Macaca mulatta: one gene and its partner. The protein of the gene in region 1 purifies or fractionates together with the protein of each later gene. This does not show direct contact. Links are inferred from orthologs where the notes say so. Each region holds a gene or a part of one and is shown in the gene's direction. Other genes may lie near its edges.

What was found. The genes of interacting proteins can lie anywhere in the genome.
Region 2: the proteins of LURAP1 (region 1) and CDC42BPB purify together in Homo sapiens (co-immunoprecipitation; 3 studies listed by BioGRID and IntAct, with this or other methods). This does not show direct contact. The link is inferred for Macaca mulatta from reciprocal best matches to the Homo sapiens genes LURAP1 and CDC42BPB.

Annotation. Positions count from the first base shown.
Region 1 is NC_133406.1:194,374,212-194,379,295, reverse strand, and holds the start of LURAP1 (leucine rich adaptor protein 1), read left to right. Parts: upstream 1-2,130; 5' UTR 2,131-2,196; coding exon 2,197-2,394; intron 2,395-5,084. UniProt on the Homo sapiens protein: Acts as an activator of the canonical NF-kappa-B pathway and drive the production of pro-inflammatory cytokines. Promotes the antigen (Ag)-presenting and priming function of dendritic cells via the canonical NF-kappa-B pathway.
Region 2 is NC_133412.1:176,460,898-176,465,921, reverse strand, and holds the start of CDC42BPB (serine/threonine-protein kinase MRCK beta), read left to right. Parts: upstream 1-1,880; 5' UTR 1,881-2,259; coding exon 2,260-2,434; intron 2,435-5,024. UniProt on the Homo sapiens protein: Serine/threonine-protein kinase which is an important downstream effector of CDC42 and plays a role in the regulation of cytoskeleton reorganization and cell migration. Regulates actin cytoskeletal reorganization via phosphorylation of PPP1R12C and MYL9/MLC2.

The DNA of each region.
Region 1 (5,084 bases):
AAAGTACCAAGGAAAATGATGTTACTTAAAATTATAAAGGTAGGCCAGGCATGGTAGCTCATGCCTGTAATCCCAGCACTTTGGGAGGCTGAGGTGGGAGAATTGCTTGAGGCCAGGAGTTGAAGACCAGGCTGGCAACATAGCGAGACTCTATCTACATAATTTTAAAAAAATTAATTACAAAGGTAACCATTAGATGAACTAAAAAGAGTGATAGAAATATGTAGTGCCAGGCCAGGCGCAGTGGCTCACGCTTGTAATCCCAGCACTTTGGGAAGCCGAGGCAGGCAGATCACGAGGTCAAGAGTTCAAGACCAGCCTGACCAACATGGTGAAACCCCCCCCCATCTCTGCTAAAAATACAAAAATTAGTTGGGCGTGGTGGCACGTGCCTGTAATCCCTGCTACTCAGGAGGCTGAAGCAGGAGAATCGCTTGAACCCGGGAGGGGAGATTGCAGTGAGTCAAGATTGTGCCACTGCACCCCAGCCTGGGTGACAAAAAAAAAAAAAAAAGAGAGAAATAAATAGTGCCAGTAGGGGAAACGAACTACAGAGTGTGAGTTAAACCCATATATCCATATTTATCTGAATATGATAATAAACAGCAGTTGAATGTTTAAAATTGAGAAGCAGTGTGGCTGGGCATGGTGGCATACTCCTGTAGTCACAGTTGCTTGGCAGGCAGGAGGATTGCTTGAGCCCAGGAGTTGAGTCCAGCCTGGGCAACACAGGAAGACTCTGTCTCTAAGAAAGAAAAAAAAAAAAAAGGAGTGGTAGGATTTACAATAAGAAAATATTTACTCCTACCCTACCCTTTCACACCTCTAGGCCCACTCCCAGTTGGCAATCACTTTTAGTTAACTCTAAACAATAACATTACGGGTATGAACACCAAAAAAAACAAAAAACAAAAAACCCCCCAAAAACTAAAAGTTACTTTTTGCCAATTGGGAGTGGGCCTAGAGGTGTGAAAGGGTAGGGCAGGGGTAACTATCTTCTCATTGTAAATCCTTCTGCAACCACGGGCTGGAATTACTTGAATTACAAGCCTACACAAACCAAAGTTTTCATGACTGTTCATTACCTGTTAAATAAAACCCAAACATCTCAGAACCATCTTCTGTAACCTTGTTATCAAAGTGTGGTCCCTTATTACTTGAAGCGTGGACCAGCAGCATGGCCATGACCTGGGAGCTTATTAGAAATGCAGGATCTTGGCGGGGCCCAGTGGCTCACACCTGTAATCCCAGTACTTTGGGAAGCCGAGACAGGCAGATCACTTGAGATCTGGAGTTCAAGACCAGCCTGGCCAACATGGTGAAACCCCGTCTCTACTAAAAATACAAAAATATTAGCTGGGCGTGGCGGTGCATGCCTGTAATCCCAGCTACTCAGGAGGCAGAGGCAGGAGAATCGCTGGAACCGGGGAAGGCAGTGGTTTGCAGTGAGCCGAGATCGTGCCACTGCACTCCATCCTGGGCAACAGAGCAAGACTCTGTCTCAAAAAAAAAAAAAAAAAAAAAAAAGGCAGGATCTCAGGCCCCACCCCGATTTACAAAATCAGAACTGCATTTTAATACGATCCGCAGATAATTCATATGCACAGTCAAGTTTAAGGAGGAGGATCTTGCTTGTAAGCTCAATGTGGACCTCTTCAGCTTCAATACTGGTTGCCCCTTTCTACTCCGTTAGTCTGAATTCTAGCCCCTGGGGTGTTGTGTGTGTGTCTGACTAAAATCCAGCCATCGTTTTAGACCCAATTCCTCTGCTCCAGGAAGACTTCCAAGCCTTCTGCAGCTCTCTGTTACCACTGTTCCTTAAACTCCCACATCTCTGACTGAAGCTGCTTAGACTTCATTCTGCAAACATGTATTGGGCGCCTGCTGTGTGCCTGGCTGGATTCAGTGCCAGGGTGGGGCGAAGGCGCTGAGGTCTCCGAGTGCTCTTTCAGGTCCAACTCCAGAACCGCCCAGCCCCACGCAATCCAGGGCCGGAGGTTGTGTGCGCAGCACTCGAATATACCCACGGACAGTGCTGCGCGGCTTTTCTGAGTGTTACGGCACCCTCCTGCCGCCCGCGCGGCTCTCGGGCGGGGACCCACCGGTTTTGCTCCGCTTTAGCAGCGGCGAAGGGAGGACCCCCGCGAGCCGGTCCCTGGCGTCCGGTTGCCCAGCCCTTTTCAGGCTTGGGCCCGCATGGAGGGAACCGTGGAGTCCCAGACGCCTGACCTGCGGGATGTGGAGGGTAAGGTGGGCAGGAAGACCCCTGAAGGGCTGCTCCGTGGGCTGCGAGGCGAGTGTGACCTAGGAACCTCTGGCGCCCTGCTGCTCCCAGGGACGCCTAGCACCGGCCACGACTTGGGGGACAAGATCATGGCGCTGAAGATGGAGCTGGTGAGTGCAGACTCCATGGGCCAAGGGGACGAGTCCCCAGTTTAGGGCCAGGAGGGACGAACTCATGCTCTCAGAGTTAAGCTGGAGAGGAGGTAGTTAAAACTCTCCACCTAACTGCTCAGAATCCCTCCCAGATCAATCCGTAAACGCTGGGGTGGAGATGGAGTGACATCCATTAATTGTCCCCCAAGAGTGAGTGGGGGTGTTGATAGGTCCTGAGGAATTGGGGTGGGAGCCGTGGGTTTTGGAAGTTATTCCTGCCAAATAATTGGGAGGAGAGAGATGAGTACTGGGAAGTACTGAGAACCCAACGCAGCACAAATTCCCCCCGCCCGTATGGGCCACCTATTCCCCCCCAGTCCCCGTTGTAAGGCAACCGGTTTTTTCTCCTTCTGCTAACCGGGAAAGGGTTTAGTTCCCGTGAGGCCCGCAGTGTTCAGCACAGAAAAGATGTGGGTAAAGGGGCCTATCTGCTGTAAACTGTCTGGACCAGGGGCACTGAAAACCTTCTCCATTTCCTCTACATCCCCCAGCCCTACTTAAAATAATGGAAAGTTCCTAGACCCATAGCAGGAACAGAGAGTAACAGCACCATTGGTGCTGATTCCCTCACCTCAGACTCAGTCTCCTCCCATCCAATCTCCCAGGTAAACTGGATATTTGGATCTCATCTGCACATTCTTGGGGAGAAGAGGAAACAGCAACCTTCCCCTTTCTCTGTTGCTGCTGGTCTAGATTCAGAGCCAAAAGGGCAGCCAAGGCCCTGGCATGTTCCTCAGGGCCCTGATTCCGGTGAAGTGGGTGATTTACACCTGCCACTACTTTGCAGCCAGTTCTGGGGAACTGAGGAATTGCTATCAGCTTCCTGGCTTACAACCAGGAGCCCACAGTGAATATGTCAGCTAATAAGTCTTTCTGGACCCCCACTGTGTGCGCAGCCTGTGCCAAGCTGGTCTGTGAAGGAGCAGGGGAAGGAAGTCATGGGGGCTCTTAGACCAGCCAGGGCTCTAATGCCTGAGCTGAGAGACTGGGAAGAGAGTCTGGTGGGTGGAGCAGCCAGGAAAGGCCCTCTGGGAGAAGGACTTGAATGCCAAGTGTGCACTTGGCCTTGAAGGTTGGAGGTGAGTGCCAAATTCTCCAGAGCAAGGCTGTGACTGTCCCCACCTAAGCAGGGGTTTGCCTTTGTCTCGCTGTACAAACTTTAGCTCAAGGCCTAGTAAGAGCCTACCTAGACTGTCTAGTTGCTTTGAAAACTAACTTTCACCCAGCACATGTGCCAGGCAGCTTGCTGAGCACTTTACTTGATACTCTCTTCATCTCCACAGTAACCATGTTAAGTAAGTGATATTTTATAGATGAAGAAACTGAGGCACAGGGTGGGCATGGTGGCTCACGCCTGTAATCCCAGCACTTTGGGAGGCTGAGGCAGGCAGATCACTTGAGCCCAGGAGTTTGAGACCAGCCTGGGCAACAAAGCAAGACTCTGTCTCTGCAAAAATTAGATGGGTGTTGTGGTGCATGCCTGTAGTCCCAGCTACTCTGGAGGCAGAGGCAGGGGGATCACTTGAGCCCAGGAAGAGGAGGTTGCAGTGAGCTGAAATCGCACCACTGCACTCCAGACTGGGTGACAGAGCTCAGAGCTAGACCCTGTCTCAAAAAAAGAGAGGGAAGGAGGGAAGGAAGGGAAGAAGGGAGGAAGGGAGGGAGGGAGGATAAAAGAAAAGAGAAAAGAAAACAGAGGCACAGGGAGTTTAATAACTGCCCAAGATCACACAAAAAGCATGGCCATGATTTGAACCCAGATCATCTGACTGCACTTTGCATGTTTACCTTTGAGACCTGCTTTGTGCCAGATAGTCTAAACACATTTTATGTCATTGAAATGAGAAAACTGGTCATCATTTCTCCCATCTTACAGATAAAACATGCTTGCAGATTCTGAACTCACATAGGGAGTCAGTGGAAGAGCCACGCCTAGTCTCTCTGGCTCTCTTTTCTGCCTTGGTGGAAACGATCTGTAAACTTTAAGGGGCTGCATTTAACTTTTGATTTTGTCTCTCTGTATTCTTGACCCTGCTTGCCTGGGGCCTGAGGCTGCCCGAGAAAGGGCACAAGGGAGGGAGCCTTCTGGGGCCAGAACGAGGAGAGATCCCCATCCTATTTTTCTCCCTCCTCAGGACAGGATGTTATTAATATTAATCTCTTCCTGTGCTCTGCCCTGCCTACTGGGTTGCACCCAGGAAGGACAAGCAGTGGGGCAAGGGGTTTCCCTTGGGGCTAATGAAGGCAGGACTGGTTCAAGCCCTCTAAGGACTGTCCTTCAATTGTTCCTCTCCCAGCTTTCCTTGCACAAAGCAGGGAGGCCTACCCTTGAGGCCAAGGTCAGTCCGCCTCTAGGCCTCATCCCTCCTGCTTTCTTCCTCTACCCACCATTCAAAGGTTGAGTGAACAAGCCAGACTGGGATATGTGGGAATGGGAAACAGTGGCAACCTCTTCTTAGTTCTCCCACCCAAAGAACTGTTGCTATGACAACCCACCTCCACAGAGGCAGTCTGAGAAGAAGCTTTAGGCGAGGAAGAAGGCACGGGTTCAAGTCTTGGCTCTGCTTCTGAAACGTTTTGTGGTCTTGAGCAGTACTCTTTCTCTCTCCTGGCCTCAGTTTTTCTTCCTCTTGGTGGAGGGAGTAGAG
Region 2 (5,024 bases), on another chromosome or scaffold:
GAGCCAGGTGATCTGCTCAGACTTTTTAAAACAACTTTTAATTAAGGTTTCATACACATACAGTAACATGCAAATATTTAGAATAGTTTGATGAATTTATACACTTTTACAGACCCACATTACAAGATGGCTCTGATGAAGATACAGAATGTACCCAGCCCCCCAGAGGCCTCTCCTTGTGTCTGCTTCCAGTTCATACCCCAAAGGCGACCAGTACTCGCACCTCTAACACCAGATTGTTTTCACCTGCCTTTAAGAAATGAAGGTATTATATACATATTCACACAGTGACATGCACTGATCTTAAGAAGACAATGTGAAGAATGTTTACTTATGTGTACTCCCATGTAACTACTACCCAAATCCAGGCATAGAACATTACCAGCAGCCCAGAAGGTTCCTCGCCCTGTTCCGGTCAACAACTCCGGCATAGGCAGCCACTCTTCTTCTTCTTCTTATTATTATTATTAAGGCGGAGTCTCGCTCTGTTGCCCATGCTGAAGTGCAGTGGAGCGATCTTGGCTCACTGCAACCTTCGCCTCCCGGGTTCAAGCAATTCTCCTGCCTTAGCCGCTCGAGTAGCTGGGACTACAGGCGCGCGCCACCACGCCCGGCTAATTTTTTGTATTTTAGTAGAGACGGGGTGTCACCGTGTTGCCCAGGCTGGTCTCGAACTCCTGAGCTCAGGCAATCCGCCCCCTCGGCCTATCAAAGTGCTGGGATTACAGGTGTGAGCCACCGCGCCGGGCCCTTTCCTGTTTTTAGCTCCAGAGATTAATTATGCTTCAGGCTCCCTTAGCCTCCGGCTTCAAACCCCTATCTGCCCCTTCATCGGCTCCACCCCTTCCCCTGTACTCGCGCGCCCCAGAAGCTCTCACCCACCCCCACGATTTCGGTGACCTTCCGCAAGCTTCAGGAATAGCCCCTCCTCTCCTGACGCCAAGGGTTTGTTGGGGTGGGGGGTATCTCCATCAACCTCCCTCCCCCAGCCACCCAAATTAACCAACAATCTTAGTAAATACAGCGACTCGCCAGGCAAACCCAGCCTGGAGACAAATATCCGCCCCGCAACCAAACTGTCACACCCAGGTATTGGTCTGCAGGGAGGGCTGGACAGTGGAAACTGAAACCCTCTGCAAGCCATCACGAATCCACCGGGCACTGGGGACGCTGGCTCCCGCCTTGGCAGCAGCCCCCACAAGCCTGGGCCCTGACCCCACACCGTCTGGGCTTCGATCTCTCGTCGGTAAAGTCAGGGGTAGGACCCGAGTCTTCTAGGACCAATTCGAGCTGGGACAAGCCGTTTTAAATAGCCCCGCCGAGGCCATCAGAGCTGCGCCTGCCGGGCGGCCCTCGACACCCACCTCGGCCGGGCCGGTCCGAGACCCCCAGGCAACATGGGCCCGCGGGGACTGTGGGACGGGGCCCGACGGCCTGAGATCGCGATTCTGCTTCTTCGATACTTGGGGTCGTCTTCGGCCCCAGGATCCGCAACGCGCGCGGTCGGACCCCAAACACCGAGGGAACCGGGTCCGCTGGGCGAAGGCGCACACGCCCACCGGGGCGCGCTCTGCGCATGCGCGGACCCCGCAATCTCGGCGGCGCACTCGCCCCGCCCCTCCCGTCCCCCCCGCGCCGCTCCCCGGGCCCGGCCCTGCCTTCCCAGCATCCCGGCTCCCTACGGCAAGCGGCGAGGCCCGAGCCCGCCGGGAGCTGGGAGCCGGGCGCGGGGCGGGGCGGCGCGCTGAGGTCAGCGCGGCAGTGGCCGGCCCCGCAGTGGTTGGCTGCGCCGGTGCTGGCCGCGCCCTGGTTGGCTGCGGGCCGCGGGGCTGGGCCGCCGGGTCGGGGCTGGGGTCGGGGCTCGGGCGCCGGCCGGGCTTGCGCAGCGCTAGGCTCCTCGCCGCTCCTAGTCTGCGGCGGCGGCGGCGGCGGGGAGGGCGCGGCCGCAGGCGGGGCTGAGGGCGGTGGACGGCGGGGGCGCGGCGAGGCGGGGGCGGGCCGCCCGAGCGGGGAGGGCGGCGGCACCGAGGGGAGGAGAGCGGCCCATGGACCCGCGGGGCCCGGCGCCCCAGACTCTGCGCCGCCGGGACGGAGCCCAAGATGTCGGCCTAGGCCGGGGCGCGACGACGCGGACGGGGCGGCGAGGAGGCGCCGCTGCTGCCGGGGCTCGCGGCCGCCGAGCCCCCGAGGGCGCGCCCTGACGGACTGGCCGAGCGGGCTGCGAGAGGCCGGCGCGTCGGGAGCGGGCCGCGCGGCACCATGTCGGCCAAGGTGCGGCTCAAGAAGCTGGAGCAGCTGCTCCTGGACGGGCCCTGGCGCAACGAGAGCGCCCTGAGCGTGGAGACGCTGCTTGACGTGCTCGTCTGCCTGTACACCGAGTGCAGCCACTCGGCCCTGCGCCGCGACAAGTACGTGGCCGAGTTCCTCGAGTGGGGTAAGTGCACGCCGGCCGGGCCGGACCTGCGGCCCTGCGACCCCTGCGCCCCCTCCCGCGCACCCCCACGCCCGCCCGGGCAGACCCTGCCGCCCTCCTGCCCACCCAGCCGGTGGGCTTCGCCTCCTCTCGCCCCGGCAGCGCCCCCGGGCCCGCTGCCCATCTTTCTCCAGCCGCTCCGTGCGCCCTCGTCCCTCCGCTAGCTCTTCATCCCTCATTGCCCTCCCCAGCCTGGACATCCGCGTTCGATCGTCCCGCCCCCTCATCCTGCCCCTCGGAGCCACATCCTACGTTCCCACTCCCACCCCCTCCCCCCTGCCGGGCCCTCGCCCTGGCCGCTTCCTAGATCCACCCTCCGAGTCTGGATATCATTTCCTGCAGCACTCCCTGGGATATCCGCCCCCGCCCCCGCCCCTGCACCTCGCCTTTAGGGTCCAGAGGCAGCGTGGAATTAGTTCACTTTCCCCACCCCACGCTCCTCTGCGTTGTGGGGGCAGCTGGGTGTGCTTTCTGCGTCTGCCTCGCCCACTGCCCCATGGGACCCCCTTGCATCTCCAGCGAGCCCAGCACTAACGGCCCCTCCTGGGTGACAGCCTGTCTACATCCCCTTGTTGGCCATAGCCTGAACACCCACTTTGCTGTAACACCTTCAAGGGGATTTTAAGGTTAAGGCTTTATTTTAAATAAACCGTGCAAGAGGACTTTTTTTTTGTTTCTTTTTAAATTCCAGTTCTGCTAGACCTTTGTGATATTTGGAGGGGTAGTTGGAGCTATCACTTAAAAACTTTCTCATCTGATTTTTGCATGCCTTCTCTAGTTAGTTCGGGATCTGTATTTTAATCATTGGTCAGCTAACCGATTATGCTTTTTTAGGACAAAAATTTGGTTAAACCATTTAACGATAATTAGGATCCTAAAGACAGGTAAAAGCGCAGAGTGAAACCCTTTTGCTTCATCTCTGCCTAACAGCGGTGTGCTGTCAAGACCCTCAGACTATCTCACCTAAAACCACTGAGTAGGAGGAGGAAATGCGTATGTTCAGGCCAGACCTATGAAAACCTTATCCTTGGGTCATTTGCGTCACGGGGCTAGGACTGTTCAGTTTGAACCAGTAATTTCTAATCTTTGGGGCTGATAAAGCTGATATTTATACGAAGAAACAAATGAAAGTGTTCCACAGTGAGGCCTCCTGCTCTGCCAGATTGGTAACTGGAATTTGGAATTTTGTTTACAAATAAAATTTAAGTTGCAGTATTCTTTAGAGGGCTTCTATTGAGTTGCTCTGTAGTGAAATGTTACACACTATCTTGTGAGAGCAGCAGTAGAAAGAGGCCCTGAGATCAAGGACAGCCTGTGATGCTTTATTTCCGTGGGAACTACCATTCTTGGTTAGTTATAGTATCAGTAAATTAAGAATATTTACTTTCTAGCATCCTTTGTCAGTGACATGATTTCCAACTGAATAATTAATTGACTTCACCATTGCTTTGAAAGTGAGTTCTTTGGTGCATGTTAAAATCTGAATATTTTGTTTCCAGTTTCTTTCCTTTATTTTGGAGACGGAGTCTTGCTCTGTTGCCCACGCTGGAGTGCAGTGGCACGATCTCGGGTCACTGCAACCTCCACCTCCTGGGTCCAAGTAATTCTCCTGCCTCAAACTCCTGAGTAGCTGGAACTACAGGCACGCGCCTCCATGCCCGGCTAATTTTTGTATTTTTAGTAGAGATGGGGTTTCACGGTGTTGGCCAGGCTGGTCTCGTACTCCTGACCTCAGGTGATCCACCTGCCTCGGCCTCCCAAAGTGCTGGGATTACAGGCGTGAGCCACTGCATCCAGCTTGTTTACCGTTCCTTTCTGATCACTGGATGTTGAAACCCACACAGTTCCACTGTCAGGTTCAACTTGGTGCACCACCTGTGAGTGTGACTGGGAGGAGGAAACAGAGAGAAAGTTGGTTTTGCTGGGAAGGTGTTGTCCCACTGGCCTCTGCCCTGGTTCCCAGAAGGAGATTAGTCTGAGGGCTGGGGCCCTGTGGGCCGTTGTGCAGCCGCCTCTCTCCACCAGGCATTACTGGTGGGTTTCCCTGGAGGAAGCTCTTCTCAGCATGTGTGGAGGTCACATTTTATGAGATCTGACCTTTCCAAATCTAAACAGGAGCTGTGTGCTATAACATAGACATGTTTTCAAAGTTATATTTTGGCTCTTTGGAAATTGTGATTACAAACTACATTATTCTCTTAGGAACTCAGTTTGCACAAAAGTATAAATTTTCAGTTATAGAGAAGAATGAACTTAGAAGGTGGTGTTTTAATGAAATATCAATATATTTTACAAGTATTTAAACTCATTTATGTTAACATATACATCATTGTAACTCTAAATTGGTGTATTTCTAGTTAACGTGTGTGCAGTTAGTATTTAATGTTGCTTGGAATTGCCTAGTTGTTTCGATTGGAAAGCACAGAATAATGCTTTTGAATAAAACTGTTTATAGAGCTATATTAGGTACTCTAACTTTCAATTACTTCTGCTCAGGAAACACATATAGGCTGTCAGTGAGTGGACTGTTCAGTTTTTGCATTCACCACTC